Linked DNA regions of Astyanax mexicanus. The protein of the gene in region 2 interacts with the protein of the main gene of each other region in a pairwise test. Links are inferred from orthologs where the notes say so. Each region holds a gene or a part of one and is shown on either strand. Other genes may lie near its edges. The genes, in order: lmo4b and rbbp8.

Region 1 (8,220 bases), on a different chromosome or scaffold from region 2:
ATTTTTAAGTATTGGAATGCAACTTGGGCCATAGAAAATGATGCCAGGTAGGAACACAAGGACGCTAAAACACTTAAGAACACATGTTAAGGAACGTTGACTGTGTATCTTGTCATCTATTCGCATTCGACAGATGCATCTTTCTCAGTTCCGCCCTTCAACTAAGTTAATATATTTTAATTTTTAATCCTTTCCAATTTGGTCAGGCCTGCCTTCATGGCGGGCTAAGCCAAATCTGTGTTGAAAGGTAATTAGAGGAGGAGGAGGAGGAGGAGGAGGAAGGAGGGAAGAGGAGGAGGAGGAGGGGTAGAAAAACGTTGCACTGAGAGAGGCATTCAGTATAAACCCCATTAGTGGAGGCTCTTAGGGACAAGCAATACCTTAGTGCTGATTAAATCTAAAAGCAGATGAATCAGAGGGGCCGGACAGAAAGGGACTGCTCCTGATAAATAAGATCGGACCATCGTCAAGTTTCATTCCGGCTACAGAGGAAGGGGAGATTTGAAGGTGGGTGAGGAAGAGGATGAGGAGGAGGAGGAAGGGGGGAGGCTTTTAACTTAAATGGGCTAACTCAAGCAATTACACGGCCGTGCAGCTCGAGCACGAAATATAGCGTTCGCCAGAGAAGATAAGCGGCATGGTGACCGCAGACCTCTCTGATGTTAAACATCTGTATAAATAACAGACACTGCTTTCATTCAGCTGACTAAATTGAATAATTTCTGATAAATATATATGAATATATTATACTCCTACAATATAACTTAAATAACACTAAGCATCACTATCACAGCACTAACCATGTGCTGTTAAACATAACTGTTTACTGTTTAATGTTCAATATCCATAATATCCCCCCAGGCTACTTGTACTACCATGTTTAGAACTATATGATCATAATACATAGTACTCATATTACATATTTATTGGTAATTTGCTATTAAATCACATTTTTTTGCTATTAAAGTAAGATCATGTGCTGTGTGCTGTTTACTATATGTGCAATATCCCATAATAGTCCCATTCAACACGTGTAGCACACTCTGTTCACTCTGTTTTCTATGTCATTTTGTAAAATAACACTAAACACTTACTGTTTACTTATGTACAATACTTCTATCACTGTCCAATCAGGTGCTGTATAACTGTGTACTGTTCACCATGTGCAGCACTCACTATCTGGTCACTCTGTTTACTATGCATGCTATGTCCAATATCACATCTTTTTAATGTTAATCTGCTATTTATTTATTGTTAACTTAAGTCAATTATAAATGAGCACTGTCTACAACAGCACAAACTATATACTGGGAAAACATGTTTTCTCTAATCTACATCTACGTACAACATAAAGTTTTACTATGTACTATTTACTCACTGTCCATCCATTTGTTGTAGAACTGTGTACTGTTTACTATATGCTATATCTCCCCATTCACCATGTGTAGCACACTCTATTCACTTTGTTCAATTTCATTAAGAGAGATATTATAACTTATTTACTTATTTTTTGCTTTTAATAATTTGCTTATTCATCACTGTTTACTGTTTAACACAACATATACACTATGGGGGACAATGTTTCCTCCAGTTCTATAAGGTTTTTCAATACAGCTCTTTACTATTTACTATTAACGCTTTATTTTTATCACTGTCCAACCAGGTGCAGGATAACTGCATACTGTTTACTATATATGCAACATCCTATAATAGTATCCCATTGATTCACCATGTGTAGCACAATCTGTTTAATCTGTTAACTAGTCTATGTCATCATGTGCACGAGTAATACTAATGTCTAGTATATTTTTGAACATATTTTCCATCTGTTCTGTCCTCTACACTGCTGTAATATTGCAATACACCAATTCCCCCACTGTGGTTTGGATTAATAAAGGATGATCTTATCTTATATTTCTTATAAACCTTATTATAAGTAATACCTGTTCATTACAGTAGTATACCTTTGACATTAAAAAAAGTGCAATTCTAGAGCTATAGTTAAACTGTGTGTACTTTTTTTTACATGCATTACAGAGTGTGTAATTACTGTACTGTGGTTTAACATGAAAAGTATGTAGCAACATTTGATTAAAACAAATCATTTTAAAGTGCTGTGTGTATAGGAGGGTATTTGGATGGACGTTTTAAAATGTGTTACTAACAGCACAACTATTGAACTATATTTTGTACAAAATACTGTATAAAAACATATATTGTATGATAAAACAAGTGACAGACTTGACTTTTTGTGAATATTAGTTGACATTATTGCAGTCTTTGCCATGCTATTTAAACTAGGGCTACACAATATATCATACACATATTCACATAACTTCTGCATCCTTTTTTTTGCTGTTTGATACAAAAAAGATATTTTAAATGACATATCTATAACAAACTATTAGTTATCAAAAGTAGATTACATCAATATTGATTTCACTCAAATCTTCAATACACAGAGCATTATTAGATTATCAATATTGTGACATGTTGGATCGTTAATTTTTTAGATTTTATTTATTTATTTATTTTTCAAAAAAAAAATTCATATCGTGATATATATCGCAGGAAAAAATATCGCAATGCACCTTTTTTTTTCTTCAGTATCGTGCATCCTTATTGTAATGAGCTTATTCCTAATTAATGCGCACGTTTACTAGGTTAGCTATGCAGCTGTACCTGAGGAAGTAAACCACCCTTAATAAAAGCTTAATAAACAAATATAAGCATTACATTATTCTGACAATAGTAAGATGTAGATTTTTCTAAGTTAAAAAGGGTGTAAGTTTAAAAGTTGGACTAGTTTTACACCATTAAAAACCCGAACTCACCTCTTTTACAGCCGAGTAAATTCGTTTTCAAGCGTCTAAATGACTGTAGCTTTCTTTCTGTGTCCCGTGGGGGGTCAAGAAACAGTTCAAAAACTGGTAAAAAATGTCAAATTAACAAAATATTTCAAAAAACACCAAAACAAATCGTCCATAAAGCTCAGCGGCTCTGCATGAGGAGGTATCCGGGCAGTGGTGAGCTCTCTGGCGGGCTGGAGAATCAGCTACAGCGCTGCTCAGCTCCGGATCCGCTTCAGCAAATGGAGTTTACAGATTATATTTCCACCGGTTCCGACCCGTCCCTCGCCTCCTCCCGCCGTCTCCCTGTCTCTCCCGAACCCGACACCGCTCGTACTCTCGCTCAGCTCGGTCTCTCGTTCAGCTCTCGGTAATTTCCCTCAGGCTGTGGCCGGTGTGAGAGCTCTGAAACGCGGTGTGAGGCTCGTAATCTCCGCCGCTGCTCCTCGTGTCTCTGTCTCTGTCTCTCTCTCTCCGCGCTGCTCGCTGCGCTGCTCTACATGTGTCAGTGACTGAGAAAAAATACAAATAATAAAAAAACACACAGGCTCCGCCCACATTGCAGCACGTCAATCTGTAGCAGCCAATCGTGCGGAGCTCCGTTCCGGGGGATGAACAAATCCGGCCAATCAGAGCAGCGCAATACAGCACATTGAGTTCTGAGTGAAGGAGGTGAGCTGCAGTTTAATTTTTCTACTTTTATATTTTCCATCGTTTAATCAAACCTTTGTAGACACAGCTCTGATACATAGATGTATTGCGTTCCAACATTTAACCAAACGTTTTTGGACTCCCAACATTTAACCAGAAGTTTCTGTACACTGTTCTATTGGACAAAACTTTTTGCAATATTTTTGGACTCCAACGTTCAGCCAAATGTTTGAAGACTAACTACTAATAGCCACATGTATTTAAATGTTTTGGGTCAAAACATTTAGCCAAATGTCTGAAGACTTACTACTATTAGCCAAATTATTTTAAATGTTTTTTTTTTTTTTTTTTTTTTTTTGTTGAAACATTTAGCCAAATGTTTGAAACCTTACTACAATTAGCCAAAATGTATTTAAATGTGTTTGGGTTAAAACAGTTAGCTAAATGTGTGTGGATTCCATGGAATTTGGTGGAGTTGCATTCCACCACATGTTTCTGAACTCCCTATATTTTTGGACTTGAACATTTAGCCAAACGTTTTTAGACACACTGATCAGTTAAGACAAGTATTTTTACAATGTTCTTGGATACCAACATATAGCAAAACATTTTTAGACAAAGCGCTGTTAGACAAGTATTTTTGCAATGTACTTGGATATAAACATTTAGCCAAATGTTTTTAGACAAAGCTCTATTAGACAAGCGTTTTTGTAATATTCCTGGATACCAACATTTAGCCAAACATTTTCAGGCACAGCCCTATTAGAAATTTTTTTAGAAGTTTTTTTTTTGACAAACATTTAGCAAAATGTTTGAAGACTAAGCCAAATATATTTAAATGTTTTGGGACTAAAACATTTAGCTTAATGTTTGTAGGCACTGCTGTATTTATCAAATATATGCGTTGCACCATCTACCATATTTTCATGTTTTGGATACAGTTCCATTAGCCAAATAAAGTTGCTTTCCAACATTTAACCATATGTAGCAGCAACACCTTCACAACCAACCCCTATATCAGAGCAACACTGCTGACCTGCATATATATATATATATATATATATATATATATATATATATATATATATATATATATATATATATATATATATATATATATATATATATATATATATATATTTTGGTAGCTGTAGATGTAGCTGAGAGCACAGGAACTTTTCAGGCTGTGAGTTTGATGCTGCTGTGACTGACTGTCCAACACAAAGCCATTTTTCAGCACCTGCTCTTACACAGTGGCGCCATCATCTGGACATAAATGGAACTATACCACTAAAAACACAACTGAATACATTAAACGTCAATATTTAATGCTGATAATTGATTACTCATCTCTGCTGGTGTAAAGTTTGGGGACTACATTAGTCTAAGGGGCAATGGAAGCTTATATTCCTATAGCAGGAGGTGAAGAGAAGAACCTACTAGAAAATAAAGGTGTTGTCACTATAGCATAATGAAGAGAATTCTGTAGAACTGCAACAAAACTGCAACAGAACACCAACAGAAAAAAAAAAAAAAAAAAAAAAATATATATATATATATATATATATATATATATATATATATATATATATATATATATATATATTTAAAATGTAAATAATGAACTCAACAAATACAAGATCTCTTCATTAAGATTCCTTATTCTTCATTAGAGTAGTTTTTACTGCTAGAATCCCTTTTCAGGCATCAGCTATGTCAATAAATCATCAATAGTAATAATAATAGTTCTATTAATTCATTCTGACTAGACATATATAAATCAAACGAATTTTAGAAAATTAAAATGTGTCTTTGAAACAGATACAAGGCTACTGTATACAATTTAACATGTCTTCAACTGTAAATCAACCATGTTTTCATTAAATAATAAAAAATAAAAAAAATAATAATAATAATCCACCCTGTTATTGTCCACCTTGGGCGCATGCATTGCGGGAAATAAAAAGTGGTTGAGCTATAAAAAATGAGATTTCTGTGTTGCCTTTTAATTATGATTATAGTGTAGCAAATTAAAATCTTACTTTATTATTTGTGTGTTTTGAAGGCTAGAAGACACCCTTGATAACAAAAACCACACACTGAGCACGAGTTGCACTGGCAGAGATCCGAATTTGAATCTGGGCTCTATTCTGGCCCAAATGCTCGGCTCACATCTGGGCTCACCTGAGCCGCAAATGCGAACTCTCTGGTTGTAGAGTATAGTACGACAATCGACTCAAGCCACACCTCTTCGGTTAAAGAGTCCACTTTTTTCCAGTTCGTCAGTTGTCGAGTATAATATGGGAATTGGCTCAAATCACTTAGTCCATCACCCCGGTTGTTGAGTATAATATAACTGTCACACAGGAAAGTTAAACAAAAGCAAAACACAAAACAAACACCAGTAATGCAAGATACACAAAACAGGTATCTAAACTGGGAAACTAAATAACTAAGACCAGAACAAAAACTAATCAAAACTTAGAAAACAATAATACTCAAATCAAAAACAAACCTGACGCATACATACAAGTACAGCAAAAAACACTAAGACAAAGGGGCTTAAATGCACTAGGAGGGTAAGGAACACCTGGAACCAGTAAACGAGGGGGCGGGGTTACAAACAAGACACAAGGTGGCAACACTAATGGCTAGGGAAAGGCTAGGGCGAAGACAGGACAATAACACAACATGGCCATGTGCTTAAAAAAGCACATGGCTGGGAACACAAGACAGGAAAACAGAGGGCAGAAGCACATCGAACCAAAAGAGGAAAAAACACAAGACAGACACAGGCTAAGTTGTGTGACAATGATAAGTAGCCTAAACTGCCTGGGGCAAGTCTTCGGTTGTTGAGTACAATACGACAATCAGCCTGAGCCGTATGTGCCACCACTCTGGTTGCAGAGCAGGGGCGTTGCATGGGCAGCTAAAGACCCGGGGCTCAGCTCAGCCAATTATAAGATTTTTTTACATATATTTTTTAAGCATCCTGCATAATATGTAGTTTTTTTATATTTGATGGATTTAAAAGTGTGCTGTAATTCAGCATGGTTGATTGTTGCCGTCTTATTAAAAAACTTAGAAACAAGATGAAAAAACTGCATGTGGCAGAAAACGAAAATGACAAACTCTAAAAACATTTAAAAAACATCACTAGCTTTCACTTTTGCATAGAGTTTCCCCAGTTTTCCCAGCATTTTATTTAACAATGTAATTTACTTCTAATTTATATTAGCAATAATATAGTTACCTTTTACTGTTGCTTACTTAAAACCATAGCCCGGAAGCCCAGGGCAGGCGACGCCCCTGTTGCAGAGTATAATATGAGAATCCTCCCATTTCACTTTTGCCAACATCCTGGTTCGCAAGTGTAAACCACATTTGGCCTGAGCTGCAAGTGCCATCATCTCAATTCCACATAGACGATGCCAATAGTCGATGATACACTGCAAAAAATCCATTGGCAAAAACTATGTTAAGCAAAAAAAAAAAACTGCCAATGGGGTAAGCTAATTTTTCTTAGTTAGATTTATTATAACAAGCAATCAAGCAAAGTGTCAAAATAAATGAAGTAACACCTGAATCAAGAAAATATCACACTTTTTTGGCCTATATTTGGATACAAGAAACAGAATAACTTGACTGGTGACTTTGTTTGTGCTTATTTTAAGTTTAAACTACTTAAAATACACACTAAGAAAAGTAAGTACAGATTTGTACTTAAAAGAGTGAAAAGCTTGTCGCTGGGGCTGTACCTTATATTAAGGTACGAAAAAGTACCTTTCAGTGAAAGTCTTTTTTTGTTCCCATGTTTTTTGTGCCAGTAAAGATTATAAAGATTATAAACATTATCATCAACTAAATATGTGTCAAGAACTTCATGATGCAAAATTGTCTGGCTTTCAAATAAAAAAATGTGAAAATAAAATATATATTGTTTATTAGTAAAGTGGTACAGTATACTGAATGTACCTTTTGCCTGGTTAAATGGTACAAATTTGTACTTATTGCTGTTAGGAATTACTTTCTACTTCAGAGGGCACAAATCTGACCCTGTTAAGACCAATATTGTACCTTTGAGGGTACAATTATGAAGAGTGTACTTTTGAGTACAAAAAAGTACTCCTTTTGTACCTCTGTTTTGTGAGTCTGATTAAGATCATTATTCCTAAAATAAGCTGAATAATCTTACACTTACTATTCAATCTATACAATGATTAGTAAGACAAAAACTCTTATCAGAGAAAAAAGATGAATAAGATTTATTGCATTGAAATTTAATAATTTTACTTCCTAATATTTATTTTTTTAGATTTTTGCAGTATACAAAAGTCGAGCTCAGGCCGTTTCTTCATGCCATCTGGGAGAGTATTCTGATAATTAACTCTATACTGTATACTGTGTACTGTATACAAACGCATGAATCTGAGTTCAGACTTTGGTTCGGACTTCAGTGGTTGGCTCTGTAACTCTGTAAGTTGAATTGTGCTGAAATGTTTGTTTGAGTAGTTCAGAAGGTGAAAAGTGTCATGGCACTCTGAGACGGGGTTTCAGTGGGCAGTTAATCAGTTCGGGCGCAATTATGAGTTGCCTCTGGATTCATTAATAAGACGTACAGTGTGTAAAGAGTCTCCGGTAGGCCGTCTTAATGGTTTAATTGTGAGTGGTCGTGGTTGATTGCGGAGCGCGGTCTGATTTCCCTGCTGGAAGGGGAACT
Region 2 (7,779 bases):
AGAATATGTTGTCCATCTTCCCATAATTAAATATGAATTATTATTTTTATTACTTTTTATTACTCACTGTAAAAAAAATAAAGAAATAAATGCATTTTGGTCAGTTTGCATTCTATTAAATTCTAATCATGAATTTATAGCGGATCAGGTGAGGACGATATATAGACTTTATTTAATCACTACATATTATTAAAGCGAAATATATAAATGCTTTAATATATAAATAAAATAAGACACTTCCAGGCACTCTTTAAATACTAAATAATATATAAAATTGACACTGTGCAGCATAATTCAAATCAGTATCTGAATAGTTGTTTATGAAGTTTTAATTTTACACTTCAGGACATGAAAATTTTACAATAGTTTATTCATAGATTATTATTATTAGACAAATCCATGTGAACTAATTTGCATAATCATTTTGATTTAAGGCTTTTTCTGTAATTAAGTTACATGCATAAAGTATAATACATGATAAATGAAGTTTACATCTGGGAATATTCAATCCTAGAGAAGTAAAGAGAAATACCTCTCTTTGAGGAGTCTGATAGATTCCTGCAGGGCTTTCTGCTGCTCTCGTAGCTGCTGATTTTTATTGTAGAATTCCTCCAGTTTTTGTGCGTCGCTTATAAAGAAAACAAGCAGCACAAATATCACTGACAGAACACTGCAGGTACTGCTTTAACCCTTTCAGACCCTGCATTCATTACAATGGACATCTTGTATTTTCTTTATTTTTACACATAAGACTATTAACACAGTTTGAACACTGTCTGCCCTCTGTACTGAAAAAAGAACAGTAGCACTAAAGCCATTGAGGCAAAGTAAGAGCTAATTTTTACTAATGTAATTTAGAACATTTTTAATGTTTAATTTTAATTTTACTGTTTAAGAATGGTTTATGAAGTAAAAAGGTCAATGTGAAATAAAAAAAAAATACACACAAACTTCCAATGTAATGAAAATAAAAATCAATTATTAAATAATTTTGTTAATTCGCTGTATAGATTAATTTGCTATATAGATTTTATAGTAAAAAAACATCACTGTAGTTAAAACAGGTCTGAAAGGGTTAAAACAGCTTAAAACACAGTAAACAAGAAAGGGCCAAAAACTCTACTTACAGACAACGCTCCTTCTTCAGCTTGGTCACCTTTGACTGCAGACCTACAAAAAAACATTTGGAGTCTCTTAAAATCCAGAAGTGTCAGATACTGCTATTTTTTTTACATATGTAACACTGACAGGCTGTGTGTTAGTAAAACCCTGAGATGCTTTTATGTCTACATTTGGAAAATATATGTATTTATTTAGCATTGTCGAGTAGCGCAGTGATACACCAGCTCACAGACACCTCAAACTGACCAGATTGCATGAATCTGTGTGCACTCTGCGGTGCATGACAATTTGCTGCAAAGTTCAGCTTTTAGTGGCAGCTGCTAGTTTTAGTATAGTACTACCACTGACTCACTTACTAGGTTCAAACAAATTAACCAATTAAAACACATTTAGCTTTTAACCAACTGTATACAAACAATCAAATGAACAGTTTCTGCTGAGAAATTTGTTTTTACATTTATTGTTTAATATAGGAACATAATCACTGCTGCCCAGCATTACTGTAGTATTAACGCTATTAAAATGTAAATTGTTGTGCAAGCTCTCCAGAGACAGTACCTTGTACTACAGTATCATGGCACTCCCTGAGGCGGCTCAGTAGATCCTGAAAGAGCTCTTCATTATTGCCAGAGGTGCCACTGAACTGAGGACTGGTCATTGTCGTTTAGTCCACCAAGCTACCTCATCACATGCCGAACAGCCAACATGCACACTCTCTGTTGAGACAGAAATAGCAGTTAAATTAACCGGTGTGAAAAAATCTGAACGTGAGATATGAATATTAATAATGTTTCTGTTAAATTTTATAGTTTTAAGTTCATACTTATTTTAACTTGGAGCTTTACATTAGGTGATTTTGGTTGAAAACAACATTAACATAGAAAGTAAATACAAAAAAATGCAACAAAAAAAATCAATATACATAATATGCTCCAAATACATCTTTTTTTAATCATATCCTATATGCGGCCACCTTGACAACAAACCACCTCCACACATGTTCTTTTGATGAAATCCTGCAAATAAAATCCTGACTAAACTAGAAATGCTCTGTAAAGAAGAATGGTCCAAAATACCTTCAACCAGACGCTTCAACAAGACTCTCATTGGAAGCTTTATGAAGCATTTAGAGGCTGTTATTTTATTTCTGCAAAAGCAAGATCTACTAAATATTAATGTATTTCTTCTGTTGGTGCCCAAATTTATTCACCTGTCTGATTAGATTAAATAATAATTGCAGACTTTCTGTAAATCCTATAAACTTAATTTTACTTCTCAAATATCACTGCGTTTCTCTGCTATATTATATATTTAAACACAATTGCTGAACTGAAAACAACCAATGATTTATAAGGGAAACTGTTTTTAATTCCACTGTAACGAGCTAGTTATTTAGCTAGTTAGCTTAACTAGGTTTACAAACATAAGCTTAGCTATTTAGCTTAGCTATCTGTATAAAGTCTAAAACTACAGCTACAGACAGTTTAAAAACACAGTTATTTTAGCTATAACTCGGAAAGTCGAAGCTCACTAAAAACCCTATGTGTTTTCCACTAATAAATACTAACGTAGTTACGTGTTTGTGTGTGTTTATCTCGTAAAAACGATTCATAAATCCGAAACTGCATTAAAACCAACAACCCAAACAAACAAAAAGACAGACTTTACGCACGTTTTTAAACAGAACCTGCGGGCTAACCTAAATAACACGCGTAACAGAGTCTTACCTATATCTGCTTGAGTCTAAAACACACATAATTTTACACATAAATCCTAAAAACAGCAGGAAAACGTTAAATTCTTACCCAGCTGTTCCCAAACACACAAACGAACAGCCCGCCAGACCTGAAGCCCGTCTGACCCGGCAGCAGAACAGCGCCCCCAGCGGCCGGACGGAAACACTTCACCCTGCAGGCAAACCAGTACAAAAACATCAGAACAATAAAATAAACTAAACCCACAAAAACATTTATATACAGCTCTGAAAAAAAAAAATAAGAGAGCACTTAAAAATGATGAGTTTCTTTGATTTTACCAAATTAAAAACCTCTGGAATACAATCAAGAGGAAGATGGATGATCACAAACCATCAAACCACCAAACTGAACTGCTTGAATTTTCGCACCAGGAGTAAAGCAGCATAAAGTTATCCAAAAGCAGTGTGTAAGACTGGTGGAGGAGGAGAACATGATGCCTTAAAACTTTACGAATATGAACTTGTTTTCTTTGCATTATTTGAGGTCTGAAAGCTCTGCATTTTTTTTGTTATTTCAGCCATTTCTCATTTTCTGCAAATAAATGCTCTAAATGACTAGAATATGTTTATTTATTTGGGAGAAATGTTGTCTGTAGTTTATAGAATAAAACAACAATGTTTGTTTTACTCAAACATAAACCTATAAATTGCAAAATCAGAGAAACTGATTCAGAAATCTACGGAGCCCCTGGCCTGAAGGGACAAGGTGTAACTTTTTTTAGTATGTGTATATTTAGTATTTATTTTTTGTTTTACTTAGTATGTGGTGCTCACCACTTAGTATGTGGTGCTTATCACTTAGTGTCTGGTGCTCACTACTTAGTATGTTGTGCTCACCACTTAAGGCCAATTTCTACTTCTGCGTCAAACCTCTGCCAGAGCCTTTGCGTCGCCACATACCCCACGCCATGGCTTGAGTGCAACTCTCTGTAAATGTAATTATGCGCGGTGCTACACGTACGGTCGCTGTGATTGGTCCGCCGGTTCTAACTGCACGCGCACGCAGAAGTATAAACGCGCTCTGCTACATAGCACAGTTTTGCGGGATATGTAGGCTACATCGTAGGTTCGACTCAAAAGTATATATTGGGCTTTAGTATCTGGTGCTCACCACTTAGTATGTGGTGCTCACCACTTAGTATCGGGTGCTTACCATTTTTAACGTAAAAAAACACCATGTCATTTCAGAGGATCCGTAAGAAACTGAAGTGGTCTCTTAATTTTTCCTATAACATACTATAACATAATAAACAGTGGAAAAGTACTGAGGCTGAAGGAGGGGAGCCGCTGCTGCAGTGAGCGCTCTCACCGCTGGGGGGCGGTATCGGTGAGTCTGACTCGCCACAGATGTCGAAGAAAACTGGGGCGCCGGAAGAGAAGGTAAACTTATCGCAGCGCAGAACAGCTGTTTTACAGAAGCTTTACCGCACTTTACCGCAGATTTAGCCCGCCTGCGCCGCTCCGCGGGGCTGTACTCTGGTGTAGAGGGGATACAGATCCGCCGGTATGATTTATAAGCAGCAGTTCGGGCTGAAAAGCCGCGTTTCAGGAGGTTTTTGTGGGTTAGCCGCTTAGCTAAGCTAACTACATTTTCACTGCCTCGACATTCCGCCGCCTCAGACCCAAAAACACCCCAAAAAACAGCCAAAAAAAAACAAAAACACCGAAAATACCGCATCTGATTCGGGCAGGAGACCGACTGGAGGAAAACACTTTATAAAGGAAAGGAAATACAGCTTTCCCAACTGAAGTAAGCCTCTATTTACCTTTATAAACAGTATATTATACCTAAAATTAGCCGATTTAGACTAAAATCACCCCAAGAGTTTAGCAGTAAAACACAAAGTACAGAGCTTTGTTATGCAGATCTTACCAGCAGAGACTTTAATTTCAGTTATCAGCTGTATCACCTGTATATACAGCTCTGGAAAACAATTATTAGACCACATCAAAATAATCAGTTTCTCTGATTTAACTACGTATAGGTATATATTTGAATGAAATAAACATAGTTTTTCATTGTATAAACGACGGACAACATTTCACCCAAATTTAAAATAGTCATAAAATCACCAGGATCACATATCATTGATGTAATTCTGACTAGTCCTACGTTAGGTTACCTTTCTCTTAACTATAATTACATTTTACTAGTAAAAACTCCAGTTAAATATATCTACATTTATTCTGTTACTAGTAGAAATTGCAGATTCAGATATATCTACACTGTAATTCTTCCTATGTTTCTTCTTTAATCTATTATTTAATCTAATTAAATTAGATTAAATCACTCCAACCATTCAAACAGTATCTAGATTACCTAACTGCTCTGTAATGCAGTTCTTACCTATGTTAGTTTACCTTTCTCTTTACTATAATTACATTTTTAGTAGTAATACTTCAGTTACAGATATATACTTACTAGTAGAAATTTATCTCTGAAATTGATGCCCATATCTACACTGTAATTCTTCCTAGTAAATGTTCTGCTTTGGAACATTGATACCAAATTCATAATTAAATCAGATAAAATGAGTGAGCAGCTTATTCGTGTTTTTTTCTAGCTGTGGGCACATGACTGTATTATTTTTAGGCTTTACAAACTGTGTTGAAAGCTATGTTTTTTAATTGTATGTACTTAAACACCTTAACTTGTATTCCACTTATTTATGTCTTTCATCACAAGCCTTTTAAACCCGCTCTCTATATAAACATGTAGACAGTGTCTAGGCTTTAACATTTTTATGAATGCTTATACATACTTGCTTGTACCAGCGTTTACTTCGTATTTATTATTTATCCATTTATGTGTTCTTTTTTCTTTAGTATGCTCGGTCCCAAAAGAAAGATGCCAGCTCAAGCTGAACCTCAAGTGAAGAAGAAAAAGGTGGATCAGAGTCCGGCAGCGTCCGATAAACACGGTCAAACATCTCAGACGACGACCAAGAGGTCCTTGAGGGCTGGAGTCTCGCAGAGGAAAGGTTCAGCTCAGTCCAGCAAGACGTCTAAAGCTCATCTGAAGGACGAGAAGGAAAAGCAGCCGCGTCGCTCCTCCAGGCTGAAGATAGCCCCTAAAAAACTGACTGGTAGGAAAAAGCGGAAGGCATCGAATGCATCTGCTGCACCAAAAGAGCTGGGCTCTAAAGGTGGGAGTAAAGCTTCAGAGATACCTGGAGAGAAAGTGTGTCAGAGTGAGCCTGTTCTGAAAAAAGGAAGTAGGAAGTACGCTGGAAGAGCAAAGAAAGGTAAATGCTCATCTCCCTCGTCTGAAACCGTTAGCACGGTGTCGGCAGCTGTGGATCCTGTGCGAACGGAGCACAACTACGGTAGACCTCCTGATATACAAAGCGAAGAGACGACGATGCCGGAGAAAAACAGCGTGGTGGACATCATCGACGTCACAGACCAAGACCCTCTCCGAGCCTCTGGTGCTAAAACGCTGAGCAAGATACCGCTTAATGAGCATAAAGAACTCCCGCCTGATCCTATCGAGAAAATCACTGTAACTTTAGATGCTAAGGTGAGTGTGATGAGAAAGTCCCCGCCACCTCTGCAAGCCCTTTTTAAAGTTATTCAGGAGACCAGCTTCAATGGTAAAGATGTGTCCGACGAGGTCGAGGTGGTTAATACGTGTTCTGTACAGGATGCTTCTGTACAGGATACTACTGTACAGGATACTACTGTACAGGATACTACTGTACAGGATACTACTGTACAGGATACTGCCCAAGATACAGAACTGTCTGCTGCTTCCGAAGGATCTCTGACCTCAGAAACCTTTCTGAATCTGGACGATATTGAGATTGAACACTGCGTGGTTGAGATTGAAACTGTGGAGGAAGTAGTTGGCGGGAACCTTGGTGCCTCATCAGAGAATTGCAATGCGCTGCCTTCGCAGGACTTGCAGCAGTTGCAGGATTTGCAGGAGGCATTAGCTCTAAAAGAAACCAGCAAAGCTGTCGTGTGCAAAGAGAGCACCTCGACTCCATCTCTGCCACAGGATGGCGCTAAGGACTCCTCCACACCGGGTTCTGTTGCACAGGCCAGCGCTGAACCTCCAAAGAAGCAAGCGATGAATCCTCAGGCCAGAACCAAGGCCCGATTAGCAGCTCTGGCTGAGGAGAGAGCAGCTGCTGCTAAGAGGCAGCCCCCCAAGCAGCTCAACCTCTTAGCTCTGTGTGAGGAAATTGCAGATGATATCGCATCGGATGCACCAGCAAAAACTGCAACACCTACAATAACTACAACAGCAGCAACAACAGCAGCATTAGCTTCAGAAGAAGATGCAGTAGAAAGAGTAGAAAAAGTAGTAGTAGAAGGAGAAGAAGAAGAAAAGAAGAACAAGAAAAGTGCTCAATCTCAATCTGAAGAGATCACCCAAAGCAAAAGTGATGAAGTGGAGGATGCACCAGTTCCCACTGTTTCCAGTGACCTGCCTTCCACTGCAACCCACGCCGAGGAAACATCCGAGCCTAAGGTGCAAGAAAACACACCCAAGAAGCGCTTCTTCCTCAGCCAGGTGTCCGTTCCTCTCAAAACCCAGGAGAAGAAGAAGCTGTCGCGTTTCCAGAGACTCAGGCAGGTGGAGCTGCAGAGGGACAAGCTGACGTGGACGCGTGTGAAGAAGCTCAAGTCTGATCAGGCCAATCAGGAGCTTGCAAACGATTCCACGCAGTCTGTGTTGCCCGACTCGTCGTCTGCATCCATCACCCCTGTCCAACAACATCCACCTCCTCAAACTCCTCCTCCTCCACCGCCGCCTCCTGCTGCTCCACAGATTGTACCTCCAGCTCCAGAGACTCTGCCCAAAATGAGTTTACGAGAACGCAAGAGAGTTCTGCCCGCTGTGGCACCGCCCATGCCCAACGGCATTACCAGCCCCAAGCCCAAACCTGCTGTAG

Evidence for each region.
Region 1: the proteins of rbbp8 (region 2) and lmo4b interact in binary tests that used the Homo sapiens proteins (3 or more experiments, as listed by UniProt). The link is inferred for Astyanax mexicanus from reciprocal best matches to the Homo sapiens genes RBBP8 and LMO4.

What each region holds. Positions count from the first base shown.
Region 1 is NC_064412.1:49,901,629-49,909,848, reverse strand, and holds the start of lmo4b (LIM domain transcription factor LMO4b), read right to left. Parts: upstream 3,353-8,220; 5' UTR 2,835-3,352; intron 1-2,834. UniProt on the Homo sapiens protein: Transcription cofactor. Plays a role in establishing motor neuron identity, in concert with MNX1, acting, at least in part, to disrupt LDB1-LHX3 complexes thereby negatively modulating interneuron genes in motor neurons.
Region 2 is NC_064413.1:973,272-981,050, reverse strand, and holds the start of rbbp8 (DNA endonuclease RBBP8), read right to left. Parts: upstream 3,017-7,779; 5' UTR 2,928-3,016; intron 1,839-2,927; 5' UTR 1,781-1,838; coding exon 1,681-1,780; intron 1,171-1,680; coding exon 1,128-1,170; intron 629-1,127; coding exon 533-628; intron 1-532. Other genes in the region: N-acetyltransferase ESCO1, read left to right, coding at 5,706-7,779. UniProt on the Homo sapiens protein: Endonuclease that cooperates with the MRE11-RAD50-NBN (MRN) complex in DNA-end resection, the first step of double-strand break (DSB) repair through the homologous recombination (HR) pathway.